Linked DNA regions of Callithrix jacchus. The protein of the gene in region 2 interacts with the protein of the main gene of each other region in a pairwise test. Links are inferred from orthologs where the notes say so. Each region holds a gene or a part of one and is shown on either strand. Other genes may lie near its edges.

Region 1 (7,172 bases), on a different chromosome or scaffold from region 2:
TCTGTGGGAATAAAAAAATTGATAGTAATGGAACCTGTCAGTATTTTGAAATAAAGTTTAGGTGAGTGAAACAGTTGGGAGTAGCAGTAGCTGTCAGGCCATACAGCTTCCTGACTTCCTTTGGCATAGAAGACATGGGAAAATCATTGGTTACAATGAGTAGTTTACTGATTTATATAAAAGGCATCCCTGTCCTTCGAAAAGAAAAATAAATTGAGGGCCTTTGAAGTAATCGATAGTAAATAGTTATACTCCAGTGAGACTAAGTGAGACTGTCCTAAAAGCTTTCCTAAAATTTTAACCAACTGTAATCTTGGGAAGATTTTAACTGATACCTTATTAACTGACGATTAGCCAGTGGAGTTAATTTCAACTCATAATGGAAAAGCCTTATAAATATTAGTGCTTTCCCAGTTTAGTAAACATGACAATCTCTTTAATAATTAAAGATTTTATAGGTTATGATTATGAATATTATCCAATTACATGGTGGTATACAAGGTATTAGTGGCTGAATTGGTACAAGTGACAGAATATCCTTTGGAAATTTTAAGCTTTGCTATCTTCTTATTTTCTCCAAATAAAGTATTAACACTTGTTTGGCATAATAAAGGTTATAGTCAGTCAGTTTTATTATGGTTTTAAGGTAAGTTTAATGTTGATTTTTTTAAAATCTAGTCAATCGTGACTTTCAGGTATAAGTGTTACAGAAAGGTTGGGCTTGGGCTGTGATATGATTGGGTTGGACACATTTTAAATAATGTAATTTGCAGATTATTCCTTGAAGACTTCAAATATATAAGAGGACAATTCATAACTATAGATATTAGAACATTGGTTCTTCATTGACATATGCAAGTAAGTTTTAAAGTCAGATATGTTTGTGGGTAATACTCAGTTTATTTTGCTGAACCCTGCATCAGATTAGGTATTATGGTCTGATAAATGGGCAAAATAATTAGACTAATCTAGCAGGAAAAAGAGGGACTGTGTGAGATTTAAAGTATTGATAATTTATATCCTTTAAAACAGGTGGTTCCAGGAGAGACTGCACTGGCATTTTACAAAGCTAAGAATCCTACTGACAAACCAGTAATTGGAATTTCTACATACAATGTTGTTCCATTTGAAGCTGGACAGTATTTCAATAAAATACAGGTACAACAAAATGTAAACTTTACAAAATATGATAAAGGTACATGAAACTTAGTGTTTTAGTAGATCTTGTGGTTTCTGAAAACTAATTTCTTCTAAACATCAAGCTATTTTTCTTCATTATCTATACTTGCTATGCAGAGATTGAGAACCAAACCAAATGGATATCTGCTTCTAAGATTAGAATTTGTTTTTGATCCTTAAAGCAGAACTCATTGAGATGAAAAGATGCTCTTATTTTATCACAGAACTCTGTATTTAACAGTATGCTTATTAAAGTCAAGAAGTGTACTGGAATGATAAGTGAACTCTATTAGTTTCTGTTATGTAATATGAGAATAGAAATGTTATTAAACAAAATCTTCTTATAACTTCTAGTGCTTCTGTTTTGAAGAACAAAGGCTTAATCCCCAAGAGGAAGTAGATATGCCAGTGTTTTTCTACATTGATCCTGAATTTGCCGAAGATCCAAGAATGATTAAGGTTGATGTTATCACTCTTTCTTACACTTTTTTTGAAGCAAAAGAAGGGTACCAGTTGCCAGTTCCGGGATATAATTGAAGTCAGCAACTAAGTCTTCCTTCAAAGTTGTGGTTTTTGGGAAAATAATGTATCCTGTCTTCTCAGAGGAGAAATATTGTACAATAATTTGAAGCCTTATATTTTAAATAGCTATTTTTTTCTCAACTAATTTATTTCACTTAAAATTGAGAGAACAGGTTTAGCTTTTATCATAAGAAACCCACATGTCTAGCTAGAATGTATGACTGACTATTCAATCCCATACTGAAGAATTTGAAAGTGTTAAAACAAACCGCTTTGTTTTTTAAATATGGAGGCATGGACTTAATGGTTCGGCTTAAGTCCATGCCTTAATGGTTCCCTTCTAGATTATTAACTCTTCATAATTATAGCAATGAATCTGAGAAGGTTTTCAAAAATATATGCTCAGGGTTATTTGTTTCAAGTCATAGGCCAGTACTTCTGACCATGTTTATTATTATGTCTAAAAGAGTTGGTTGCTATTTTGAACAGTCAATATTTTAAAAGCTCAAAGTAGGAGTCACTAAGCCCTAACAGCTTGTCCAAAGATTTAAATTCTTATTTCAAATTTGACTTTTTGTCCTTTAAGATCTAGGGCTATTTTATATTCAGAATTCTGAATAATTACTTTGAAATTGTCCTATCATGAAATTGAAATAAAGTAAGTATATTTACTAGGCTGCTAGCTTTTACCATCATTATTACAAGTCCATGAATGTTAAAATGTACAGGTGGGATTGTGATGTACTGACATCAGAAGTTCTTCCGGGAACAAACTTTGTAAAAAAAAAAAAAATGTATTAAATTATTTTATTTTTCATCAAATGTAATACTTATTCTGAATATTTTCCAGTTGTCTGTGTTCCAAATAGAAATGTTAAGTTATAGTAAAAAGAGAGAAAAGACTATTTAGCATTACAAAGAATCAAAAAGCCCATCCATTGCAGAGTCTAGTGACCTGTTCAGGACACCTAAAATATAATTAAATGACAATCATCAAGGCTTTAACAATTTATAATTCTAAACCAGAGGATTATTTATAAAGAAGTGCAAATTGACTTTTACATTCAACTTTAGTTAAATGAAGGCACTCAGTATTTATGCTTCCAGAATAATACATTCAGTTTCTCACATTTTATGCTTTCATCTATTCAGAATTATTTTATAGTAAGATAATCTCTTATCCACAGCTGTGTGATGATTTGTAAATGTAGGAAGGCCTGTGAAACATATGACACTGCAGTTAAATTGGTTGCCTAAGGACTAAGTAATTTTTTTTCTGCTAAAGTTTTAAGTTGAGTATTTGTTCCAAACAAGTTCTGTTGAAATCTCACGCTGTTGTCAGGAATCACTGTTATCCTGGAACTGTTAGTCTTCTGTTTAAGCTTCATTATAGCAGAAATGTTCCACCATGGCTCTGACATGTTGGTAGGTAGGTATTGTCCAGGCCTCAAAGCTGCACAGTCTACTCTTTAGAGAGTTGGCATCTTTGATGTGGCTAGTGAGGTGATCGTCCTCTTTCTTCTAGAATAGAGAAGAAAATGTCCAGTATTCATCCTGTCCTTCTCTATCCCCATTTCTTGATAACTCTTGTACTTGTCTCTAGCGGGAGGCTGGAGAGCCACAGTCTAGCAGAAAAAAGGTAAGAATGTACTTCTTCCACAGGGGAGGGATAAGAGGAATAAATAAGTTTAATAGTTCATTGGTGACCGTTAAATAGTAAATACATGGGATCAGTAGTGCTGAAAATAGGAAAAACTCAAGACCTATTTGGAGGAGTAATAGTAAATGGGTCTACTGGTACCAGTTAACAAATATTAATGGCACATGAAAGACAAGTGCCTGACTTGTTCATCTATTTTTGTTAGCACTAATATTTCTATACCATAAAGTAACTAATGCATTCCCAAGCCTTATTATTTACAGATGACAGAAGCACAAAGAATGAATTTCATTAGTGAATAATGGCTCCCCATAATTTGAGTGATTCAGGGGAACTCATATTTCAAAGTGTCAGACTCAGATGGCCTTTACAAAATATAAATACTAAACATGTAAAGTGAAAATTATACTGAAATTATTTGTAATATGGAATTAAGCTGTGTAAGTTGAAGTTTTTACCTCAGTCAACATGATTCTGAGCTCCTTTGTGCTGGTGAGCGTCAATTTCTTCATAAATAGCTCTGAAACAAAGCCATCACAGCAAAAGGATTATATATCCATTTCAAAGTGCAATTTTGGTTTTTAATTGCCAGTACCATAATTAAAAATTGAGCTGTTTTGGAGTTCAGGCTACATATGAGTAAAAACAATCTCTGCCCTGAATTGTATATTCTAGTTTTCTTAAATTGTAATGTTACACTTCCCTTATTTTTTATTTATTTATTTATTTTTTGAGACAGAGTCTCACTCTTGTTGTCCAGGCTGGAGTACAATGGTGCTTTCTTGTCTCACTGCAACCTCTGCCTCCCAGGTTCAAATGATTCTCCTGCCTTAGCCTCCCAATTAGCTGGGATTACAGGCACATGCCACCATGCCCAGCTAATTTTTTTGTATTTTAAGTAGAGACGAGGTTTCACTATATTGGCCAGTCTGGTCTCGAACCCCTGACCTCAGGTGATCCACCCACCTTGGAGGGCCAGGATTACAGGTGTGAGCCATTGCGCCTGGCCTTAATATTGCAATTCCTGTGCCTTTTTTTTTTTTTAAGTTTTAAGATGGAGTTTTGCGCTTGTTGCCTAGGCTAGAGTGCAGTGGTGCAATCTGGGCTCACTGCCATCTCTGCCTCCTAGGTTCAAGCAGTTCTGCTTCAGCCTACTGAATAGCTGGAATTACAGGCATGTGCCACCATGCCCAGCTAATTTTGTATTTTTAGTAGAGAAGGGTTTTTTTTCATGTTGGTCAGGCTGGTCTTGAACTCCTGACCTCAGGTGATCTGCCTGCCTCGGTCTCGCAAAGTGCTGGGGTTACAAGGGTGAACCACCACTCCCAGCCTCCTATGCCAATTAAAAGTATGTATTTTATAGAACCAATTCATTTTTTCTTGTGATTTAAATGAAAAATATGGCTCAAATTTGGAGTTTACATTTTTACTTAAAAAACTCTTCAATTTCTTCTGGTTTCAAACATTAAAAAAAAATTACGCCAAGTACAGTGGCTCACACCTATAATTCCAGCACTCTGGGAGGCTGAGGTGGGTGGATTGCTTGAGTCCAGGCTGAGGTGGGAGGATCACTTGAGCCTAGGAGGCGGAGATTGCAGTGAGCTGAGACCGTGCCACTGCACTCTAGCCTGAGCTACAGAATGACACTCTTGTCTAAAATAATAATAATAATAATAATAATCTTCCAGCTTATTTAACTTATGTGATTAAAATACAGGCGCCTCAAGCCACCTATAGCTCATCACTCTCATTTCTGTGCTTTTCTTTATATTGTATTTTTTTTTTATGACATCCTTCATTCTTTTTTTGAACTCTGTCACCCAGGCTGGAATGCAGTGGTGCAGTCATGGCTACTGCAGCTTCAGCCTCCTAGGTTCAAATGATCCTCCCACTTCAGCCTCTTAAAATATTGGGATTAGAGGCATGAGCCACCATGCCTGACTCATTCAATTCTTTTTATGTATCTTACATATATCTGTAGCTGGAAAATATCTATACCTGAAACCACAACATTCATATACACAATATAGCAAAATATGGCTGAGGAAAAGCCTCAAAAATCACAGCACTATGAAACCATAATCACCAAGTTCATAAGGCCCCAGAATGGTCCTACAATTTTAATGTTTCCTTAAAAAGTCTGGTCTCTTATCTCCCTCAAAACGATGTCAGCCTTCTTCATTCTCCTCATACCTCTGACTTCTCTGGTAGAAACCTCATTCTTAATACATTAAATGTCTTGATATGAAAACTTCCTCATCTTCCCATCACTAAATCTTTAAGTTTCTTCATTTGTATTGTCCTTTATTTCTGTGATCCTATCTACTCCAGGCTTCTTAAGCACTTCACCCATTCAGTTATTCTCCCCTTCCTGAGTCTTCAGCCTCTCCTTCTGTGGCAGGTCCTATTCCTCGACTTTCACAGATTCTCCAACATCTCCCATATCTTCTATTTTATACAAAGTATGATCTTTAATTCTACCTCTACTTGTAGCAAATGCCTTGGTATCCTCTAGCTACCAACCCCTTTTTCTTTTTCTTTTCTTTTTTTCTTTTTTTTGAGACGGAGTTTTGCTCTTGTTGCCCAAGCTGGAGTGCAACAGTGTGATCCCAGCTCACTGCAACTTGCACCTCCTGGGTTCAAGCAATTCTCCTGTCTGCCTCCCGAGTAGCTGGAATTACAGGCACCATTTTTGGTAGAGACAGGGTTTCTCCATGCTGACCAGACTGGTCTCGAACTCCTGACCTCAGGCACTCTGCCCGCCTCAGCCTCCCAAAGTGCTGGGATTACAGGTGTGAGCCACTGTGCCCAACCCCAAACCTGATTTTATCATTGTTTCACATTTAAGTTCGTATCTGCACTTAACTGTCTCTACTTAATCTCTTCTGTGCTTTTCAAATGCACTGAAATTTGGCATCTGTCCCCATCAATCCATCAAATAGCTTTTACAGAAATCATCAGTGATCTCTACATAATCTGTTGTCTAGTTTTCAATTCTCATCTTACTTGTCTGCCCTTAGCACTGACTTTCACAGTTGTACTCATTCCTCTTTGCCTCCAAATACATTTTCCACATCTGGTTCTGAGCTCCCTGTTAACTTTTTTAACTCTTGGCTTTGGCATTTCTGTTTCCTTGAATGTGCCAGAACTCTTTCCTCTGGGTCTTGGTTGTTCCCTGGACCTACAATACTCATTTCCAGACTTTTAACTAAGAATTGCAGGTCTCAGCTTTAATGTTTCCTGAAGCTTTCTCTAATCCCCATTTAAGTTAGTTTTGTTATGCACTTTCAATTTGCCATGTTCTTTCATAACACTAACAAATTGTAAACATGTATTTGGTGATTTGTCTAATTTCTGTATCCATGCTACATTTAACCTCTATGAGGCCAAGGGAGCATGTTTCTTGTTTAAAATTATAAATTAGTCTAAAAATAGTCCCTGGCACATAATATTGAAATAAATGAATCTTGTGCATCTTCATAAACATACTCTTTGTCCTGGTAGAGGAAAAATTGTCAACCTGGGGTTCATGGACAACCAGTGATATGAAAAAAAACAGAAATTTCCTGCAAGATCCTGTGCTTTTCCTTGGAGGGAGTCCCTGAATTTCATGGGACTTCAAAAGAACTGAGACATTCTGACCACCAAAAGGAAGATCCATCACAATGATAGAGTTCCAAAGATTCACCTCTCCAGCTGTTTACTGTCTCTCCCACCTCCAGTATCTGTGACACTGCCATATCTATATATACCAATCTTTTAATTTGAGTGTAATCAAGAACTTTTTCACTACCTATTTGGATGGAGATAA
Region 2 (8,476 bases):
ATCTCTTGACCTCATGATCCACCTGCCTCAGCCTCCCAAAGTGCTGGGATTACAGCCGTGAGCCACGGTGCCCGGCCCAAGTATGTGGATTTCTGAATTCTATTCCAGTGGTCTGCATGTCTGTTTTTATATGAATGCGATGCTGTTTTGGTTATGACAGTCTTATAGTATGTTTTGAAGTTGGATAATACGATGCCTCCAGCTTTTTTCTTTCTGCTCAGGATTGCTTTGTCTATTTGGGCTCTTTTTTTTTTTTTTTGCTCCATAAAGATTTTAGGATTGTTTTTTCTATTGCTGTGAAGAACGATGTTGGTATTTTGATAGGCATTGCACTGAATCTGTAGATTGCTCTGGGCAGTACGGTCATTTTAACAACATTCATTTTTCAGTCTGAGAGCGTGGGACCGCTCTCCATTCGTCTGCATCATCCTCAGTCTTCTCCATCAGTGTTTTGTAGTTTTCCTTGTGGAAACCTTTCCACTGATTGGCTAAGTGTATCCCTATATATTTTATTTTTTTATAGCTGTTGTAAACGGAATTATCTTTTTGATTTCTTTGTCAGCTGGTTCATTGTTGGTGTCTGGAAGCACTACTGACTTTTGTATGTTGATTTTATATCATGGAACCTTCCTGAATTTATTTACCAGATCTAATGATTTTTTAGTGGAGTCTTTAGGTTTTTCTAAATGTAAGATTATATCATCTTCAGAGAGGGACAATTTGACGTATTCTTTTCCTCTTCTTTTTTTGCCTTTTATTTCTTTCTCTTGCTGATTGCTCTAGCCAGGACTTCAAGTATTACGTTGAATAGAAGTGGTGAAAGTAATTATCCATGTCTTGTTCCAGATCTTAGAGGGGAGGCTTTCAACTTTTCCCCATTTGGCATGATGTTAGCTGTGGGTTTGCCATACATGGTCCTTACTATGTTAAGATACATTCCTTCTATGCAATTTTATTGAGAGTTTTCATCATAAAGGGATGTTGAATTTTATTAAATGCTTTTTTTTCTGTATCCATTGAGATGATCATGTGATTTTTGTCCTGCATTCTGTTGATGTGATTTACATCTTGATTTACATATGTCGAACCATCCTTACATTCCTGGGATAAATCCCACTTGATCATGATGTATTATCTTTTTCATGTGCTGTTGGATTCAGTTTGCTAGTATTTCATTGAGAATTTTTGTGTCTTTGTTCACCAGGGACACTGGCCTTATAGCCTTATTTTTTCTTTACATCTTTGTCTGGTTTCGGTATCAGGGTGATGCTGGCCTCGTAGAATGGGTTAGGGAGAATTCCCTCCTCTTAATTTTCTGGGAATAGTTTCAGGAGAAGTGGCATTATTTTTTCCTTTGAACATTTGGTTGAATTTGGTAGTGAAGCCGTCTGGTCCTGGACTTTTCTTAATTGGGAGACTTGATATTATAGAGTCAATCCCATTTCTTATTGTTGGGCTGTTCAGGTTTTCTCTTTCTTCCTGATTCAATCTTGGCAGGTTATATGCACCCAGGAATTTATCCATTTTCTCTAGGTTTTCCAGTTTGTTAGTGTGTATACTTATTTGATGATTATGGTTTAAGTGTAAGTGTAATCATGCAATAATTACATTAAAAAAAGCAATAATACTGGGGTGGGAAGGAAGAGTTGGGATGAGGTTGTTATTATAAAGTAATTGCATGGCTCATCAAGCAGTATAGTTTTATTTGAAAGAGGACTTTTATGTTAGTTGTAAATGTATATTGTGAACTCTAGGGTAATAAAGATATCTGTGTTGGACGTGCTCCCAGGCGTGTCCCAGCTCTCTACTGCTTTTATCTGTTTAAAAAAGTTTGAAGTTAGTAGCCAATCACATTTTAGTTTAGATTGTGGAGTCTGGCTCCAACCAACAGAGATCAGACACAGCAGTAAGGACGACCCCCAGATGTGTGAGTATAAATTTACGTTTTCCTTTATTCATCATACTCTCGTGGCACGATGGCTGGCGAGGGTCCCCTTCCTGCAGTCCAGAAGGTAAAAATTGCGTTGCTGAAAGATTCTTTGTCTCAATGCTAATTTTTCTTCATGGCACAGAGCACTGGCTTCCAACAGTCAGGGTATGGATAGGAAGGATTTCTCTAGCGCTTCTCAGTAGCTTTGCATGCTGCTTCACACATCGCATGCAACATTCGTATTTCAAATCGCTCCCTATAGGCGTGATTTTTAGCATGAAAATGAGGAAGGGGTAACAATAGTTGAAGTGTAAGTCTAACTGCACATGTGGGGGCCTGGGGAAGTTCCTAGGCCCCTAGAGCAGGAACTTGGGGTTCACAGCTTCTTGGGTCTTGGGCTATGGATTAGCTGGAAGTTCAGCTGTCCAACTTGAGGCAGGGACTTTGTTCTTTTTCCCTAAACCACATCAAAACAGGCAGGCAGCCAGTCTGCCCCTTTCTTTTTTTTTTTTTTTTTTTTTGAGACGGAGTTTCGCTCTTGTTACCCAGGCTGGAGTGCAATGGCGCAATCTCGGCTCACCGCAACCTCCGCCCCCTGGGTTCAGGCAATTCTCCTGCCTCAGCCTCCTGAGTAGCTGGGATTACAGGCACGCGCCACCGTGCCCAGCTAACTTTTTGTAATTTTTAGTAGAGACGGGGTTTCACCATGTTGACCAGGATGGTCTCGATCTGTTGACCTCGTGATCCACCCGCCTCGGCCTCCCAAAGTGCTGGGATTACACGCTTGAGCCACCGCACCCGGCCCAGTCTGCCCCTTTCTAAAGGAGAGGCTGGTAAGCGAGACCTGAAGATGCGGCCTCTGAGATGAAAGTGAGAGAACATGTGTCCTGGACAGTGAGTGAAGCGTGGGTAGCAGGAATGACAATCCATTCTGGTCTGCTGCCTGGAGGACGAGACTGCGACTCGCCCACTAACAATTTAGAGACCCCTGATCCCCTTCCCAAGAGCTTTTAGCGGAGTTGGTTGTGTTACGGGAAAAGGGTACTGATCCAGACCCCAAAAGAGGGTTCTTGGACCTCGTGCAAGAAATAATTTGGGCCAGTCCACAGAGTAAAGTGAAAGCAAGTTTATTAAGGCAGCGAAGGAATCAAAGAATGGCTACTCCACAGACAGGCCGGGTGTTGGCAAACGCACGAGGAGGAAGGCGTCCACCTGGGTACGACCCTTGTTTATAGGTAAGAGAACAGCCAAAACATCACCGGGCTCGCGCTGCCTGACGCCTGTCCTGCCCAAGCATCTACATCATCCTCTTTAAGGCGAAACTTCAACTCAGGATGCTTTTTGTTCCTAAGAAAGCAGCACATCAGGACCCAAGTCCCGGGTCTGCTGGGTAAACCTTATTAACCTGTTCTGCTGACCATAAACGCCAGAGGCCGAGGGCAAGGCGGGCTTAAACTCGGGCTCTTCTGGCAGGGCCTCCATCCCGGTCCCGTTCACCTGGCAGCAGCACCTGCGCAGGTACCGCGCCCACCATTCGTGGCACTTGGCATCTCCCCGCTCCCCCCCACCCCCCCGCCTTATTTTTTGAGACGGAGTCTCGCTCTGTCGCCCAGGCTGGAGGGCAATGGCGCGATCTCGGCTCACTGCAACCTCCACCTCCTGGGTCCAAGCGATTCTCCTGCCTCAGCCTCCCGAGTAGCTGGGACTACGGGCGCGCGCCACCACGCCCGGCTAATTTTTGTATTTTTAGTAGAGACGTGGTTTCTCCATGTTGGCCAAGATGGTCTCGATCTTCTGACCTCGTGATCCGCCCGCCTCGGCCTCCCACAGTGCTGGGATTATTGGCGCGCGCGGCCGCGCCCGGCCTCTCTCTGGCACTTTTGACCAGAAAGGCCCTTCCTCGCGCAGGAAGCCGAGGCAAGGATCGCGCCGGAGGGGCTGTCGGGCCCCGAGCGGATCGCACGTCCGCAGCTCACCCCGCCCGAGGAGGAGCCAACGCACTGCCCAGACCGCAGCGCCGCCATGCTTGGGCCTGCGCCGACGGCTGTCATGACGGGGCATGCGCAGACGGCCGTGCCCGGAGCCATTGACCGGCCGGCTGGGCTCGGAGAGAAGCGGGTGCGCAGGCGCCGGGCGAGAGGCTGCGCTTGACCGCCCCTGGAGCGTGCGTGCGCGCGCGAGCCGGAAGGGGCGGTGCCTGGTGGCGCGGCGCCTGCGCAGTGGGGAGGGGCGCGGGGGAGGGGCGCGGCGGCTGTCAGCTGACTGTGGCGGCGGCGGCGGCGGCGGCCTCGAGGTGACAACCGTCCCCGTCGCAGGCTCCGGCGGGGGCGCAGGAGGTCGCCCGGCGCGTCATTGTCGGGTCGGCGAGGCCCAGGGCCGGCCGCAGCACCATGGCGACCACCGTCAGCACTCAGCGCGGGCCGGTGAGGCCGCAGGGCTAGGGTCGGGCGGGGGCGGCCACCTGCGGCGGGCGGGGCCTCGGGCCGGGGCTTCTGGTCAGCGACGGCGGGCAGGAGGGCTCCTTGGCTCCCCCAGGGCACGCGGGGCGCCCGGCCGGCCGGAGGGGAGCGGCGGCGTCGTCACTCGGGGCGGGGCGGGCCGGACGGATGCGCCCGCGCTGCGGGACGCTCGAACTCCCCGTCGCGCCCGGGCAGAGCGTTGGGGAGGCGGCCCCAGGTGAGGGGGCCTGCGCGCGGGGTGAGCCTCAGATGGAGGCGGCCCTGTGCCCCGTGGTTCCCCAGATGGAGGCGGCCCTGTGCCCCGTGGTTCCCCAGATGGAGGCGGCCCTGTGCCCCACGGTTCCCCAGATGGAGGCGGCCCTGTGCCCCGTGGTTCCCCAGATGGAGGCGGGCCCTGTGCCCCACGGTTCCCCAGATGGAGGCGGCCCTGTGCCCCGTGGTTCCCCAGATGGAGGCGGCCCTGTGCCCCGTGGTTCCCCAGATGGAGGCGGGCCCTGTGCCCCGTGGTTCCCCAGATGGAGGCGGCCCTGTGCCCCGTGGTCCCCCAGATGGAGGCGGCCCTGTGCCCCACGGTCCCCCAGATGGAGGCGGCCCTGTGCCCCACGGTCCCCAGATGGAGGCGGCCCTGTGCCCCACGGTCCCCCAGATGGAGGCGGCCCTGTGCCCCACGGTCCCCAGATGGAGGCGGCCCTGTGCCCCACGGTTCCCCAGATGGAGGCGGCCCTGTGCCCCACGGTTCCCCAGATGGAGGCGGCCCTGTGCCCCGTGGTTCCCCAGATGGAGGCGGCCCTGTGCCCCACGGTTCCCCAGGTGGAGGCGGCCCTGTGCCCCGTGGTTCCCCAGGTGGAGGCGGCCCTGTGCCCGATGGTTCCCCAGATGGAGGCGGCCCTTGCTCTAATGTCTCCCAAATGGTGGAGGGCCCCGCACCCTAATGGTCCCCCAGATGGAGGCGGCCCTGTGCCCCATGGTTCCCAGGCGGAGGCGGGCCCGCACCCTAATGGTCCCCCAGATGGGGGCAGCCCCTGCACCCTCATGGCCCCCGCGGTGGAGGTGGGCCTCCACTCTGGTTGGTCCCATGGATGGTGGCAGTTTCCTCCTTCCCCCTTACGCTACAGAGCAGTGGTGACCACTTCTTGGGCGCAGTTGTGTCCCCAGTTTCCCAGTTAGTGGCCGTGTAAAGCCTCAGTTTCTTCATTTGCAAATGAGAGGTTAGGTGCCAAGAATTCGTAAGAAACTTTCCTGCTCCTCATTCTCTCCTGAGGGTTGCCTGTCAGTTTCTATAGCATTCATATTGCAGGAGAGCTGCTGTAGATGGACTCAGAGACGATGGGCCCCTGGCGTGAGTGGGCTCCTGGCATGAGTGGGCTCCTGGTGTGAGTGGGTTCCCGGTGTGAGTGGGTTCCCGGTGTGAGTGGCCTCCTGGCGTGAGTGGGTTCCTGGCGTGAGTGGGCTCCTGGCGTGACTGCCTCCTGGCGTGAGTGCCTCCTGGCATGAGTGGGCTCCTGGTGTGAGTGCCTCCTGGTGTGAGTGCCTCCTGGCGTGAGTGGGCTCCTGGTGTGAGTGCCTCCTGGCATGAGTGGGCTTCTGGTGTGAGTGGGCTCCTGGTGTGACTGCCTCCTGGCATGAGTGGGCTCCTGGTGTGAGTGCCTCCTGGCGTGAGTGGGCTCTTGGCATGAGTGGGCTCCTGGTGTGAGTGCCTCCTGGCGTGAGTGGGCTCCTGGTGTGAGTGCCTCCTGGCGTGAGTGGGCTCCTCGTGTGAGTGCCTCCTAGCTCACTGTTAGGTTCTTTGTGCATTGCTGTAAAGAAATACCAGAGACTGGGTAATTTCCAAGATAGAAGTTTTAATCAGCTCTGAGTTCTGCAGACTACAGGTAGCATAGCGCAGGCATCTGCTCCTGGGGAGGCCTCTGGAAGCTTCCAGCCATGGCGGAAGATCAAGTGGGAGCCTGCGCGTCATATGGCGGAAGCAGTAAGAGAGTTGGGGGTGGGAGCTGCCACATACTTTTTAATGACCAGATCTCGTGAGAACTCACAGTCACCAGGACAGCACCGAGCCACAAGGGATCTGCCCCCGTGACCCACACCCCCCCCACCAGGCCCCGCCTCCAACACTGGGGATCACGATTCAGCGTGAGATTTGGCAGGACACAGATTTAAACTGTGTCACTCACTGAGGCTGGGCTGGGGCGGGCTGTTGGGAGCAGTCCAGTTTTTATCAACAGCGGCTCTAAACGTGCCATGGGTGGAAAAAGTCCTTTTCCACTATGCTGTAGGGTCCCTGCACTCATGCAGCCGGTACTGGACATGGTGGAGGGTTCCCCGGGCTCCCCACAAGTCCTGCTGTTTCTCCTAATGAGAGAATTCTTCAGGCAGAACATTTTTTCTGAGTTTAGAATGAAGCCCCAGGTTTTGGGCACAGAGGATTTTTCTGAGGACTTTGAAGGAAATCTCCTAACACACAGGAGACTCAGGTGTGGAGCCTGTGGGTCAGCAGAGGTCCCGGACGGCATCTCTGGCGTGAGTGAGCTCCGCTTCGTCCTCAGTGCACCACAGCGAGTGCCTGCAGGCTGCTCTGAGTGAGGTGCTCCTTTCTGCCTCACTACAGGCTCATAGCAACAAGGGAACCAGCACCCCCTTTGTGTCCTGGAGAGTGGGGGGCACAGTGGCTGGGCAGGATGGCCGCTTCCTTACTGTGTGGTCAGGGAGGCGTCCTCAGCCCCCTGGGAACTTGTCCTCGTCTGGAACTGCACTGGGGTGTGGGACTGAGTTTGAATTCAGCAGGGGCTGAGCACCACGGAGCAGCTGGGAGGCAGGCCCTTCCTGTTGTGAGGTGCCCGCGATGAGGAAGTGGGAGTGGCGGTGTTCATACACGCGGGGCCTGTGCCGACACATACCGAGGTGTCGTCAGACTCTCCTCTTGCCTGGTGCCTCCTGGGCTGTTTCTATCCTTTGTAGACAAGCAGGTCTTTCAGGGGCACCCCCGTTGACCTGTAAACACCCAGTGACATCAGGTGTGGCTCAAGCTGCCAGGGTCTCCAGGAAGGTGTTGTCAGCACTGGGGGTCCAAGTGCTGTTTGGAGTGCGTGTGACTTAATCAACCAGCATTACTGACTGGTGTTTAGGACAGCCACAAAGGGCAGCCACAGTACAGGGGACAGCCAGGTGGTTCCTGCCATTGGGATCTCACAGGGCAGTGCATAAGGACAGTGGAACCACATGATGGCAGCTGGCAGGTCTGTTGATCTTAACTCCAGGGTCAGGTGCTGGGAGAGTTTGTAAACAGTGGCCTCACTGGGGCTGGATGTTGGGGTGAGGATGTGACACCTCATCTGAGCTTGGAGGAGGAATGTGAGTCGGGGGTGGGCCGAGAGGGGACTGCACAGAAAGAAGTGTGGAGTCTGGAGGTGGAGAGGAGGGAGCCCAGGGGCTGAGGATGGAGGGAGGTGGAGAGGAGGGCGCTTCAGGGGCCGAGAATGGAGGGAGGCCGGGGCTGGTGGCGGCAGGAGGGTCTTGGGCACAGGAAGGCTGGACTTGGCCCTGAGTTCATCAGGTCAGTGCAGCACTCTCTGTGAAGTGTTGCCCGCACATGCCCACTGCAGGGCCTGCCTTGGCTCTGGCCTGCCTCACCAAACATGACCCATCCAGCCCCTCTGGATGAGCTCATGCTGGGCCTCCGGCCAGTTATTAGCATCTGGAGGAACTCCTGCTTTTGCAGGACGTATTGACACGACATTTATCGTGTCTTCTTCTTTATCTTAACTCGTGGCGCCGGGGAGGCAGGAGGTTTGCAGGGTGCTTGGCTTTCCAGCACAAAGAGGTGCTTCCCAGGGCCCAGGGCCCAGGGCAGGCTCTGGCTCAGGAGACCTTGACTGCAATCTACTCGCTGCCTCCACCTAGTGAAGGGGTGACAGCAAGGTCCCGTGGGTCGTGAAGGAGCAGAGGGGCTGCTCATGGGGGCCTGGGAGGGTTCTTTTGTCCTTGGGTAGAAGGAACTTCAGGGCCCAGCAGGTAGGTGTGGAGACGACCTATCGTTCTGAAAGAGTTCGTGCAGTGTTTGTATCTCCAGGATTGCGTTTCCCCGATAGCC

What was found. The genes of interacting proteins can lie anywhere in the genome.
Region 1: the proteins of TOLLIP (region 2) and TOM1L1 interact in binary tests that used the Homo sapiens proteins (3 or more experiments, as listed by UniProt). The link is inferred for Callithrix jacchus from reciprocal best matches to the Homo sapiens genes TOLLIP and TOM1L1.

The regions. Positions count from the first base shown.
Region 1 is NC_133506.1:111,246,618-111,253,789, forward strand, and holds the end of TOM1L1 (TOM1-like protein 1), read right to left. Parts: intron 3,882-7,172; coding exon 3,820-3,881; intron 3,327-3,819; coding exon 3,171-3,326; coding exon of another isoform or gene 3,079-3,170; 3' UTR 2,495-3,078; downstream 1-2,494. Other genes in the region: COX11 (cytochrome c oxidase assembly protein COX11, mitochondrial), read left to right, coding at 1,033-1,158, 1,534-1,716. UniProt on the Homo sapiens protein: Probable adapter protein involved in signaling pathways. Interacts with the SH2 and SH3 domains of various signaling proteins when it is phosphorylated. May promote FYN activation, possibly by disrupting intramolecular SH3-dependent interactions.
Region 2 is NC_133511.1:130,589,416-130,597,891, forward strand, and holds the start of TOLLIP (toll-interacting protein), read left to right. Parts: upstream 1-4,186; 5' UTR 4,187-4,320; coding exon 4,321-4,353; intron 4,354-4,415; exon of another isoform or gene 4,416-4,606; intron 4,607-8,476. UniProt on the Homo sapiens protein: Component of the signaling pathway of IL-1 and Toll-like receptors. Inhibits cell activation by microbial products. Recruits IRAK1 to the IL-1 receptor complex. Inhibits IRAK1 phosphorylation and kinase activity.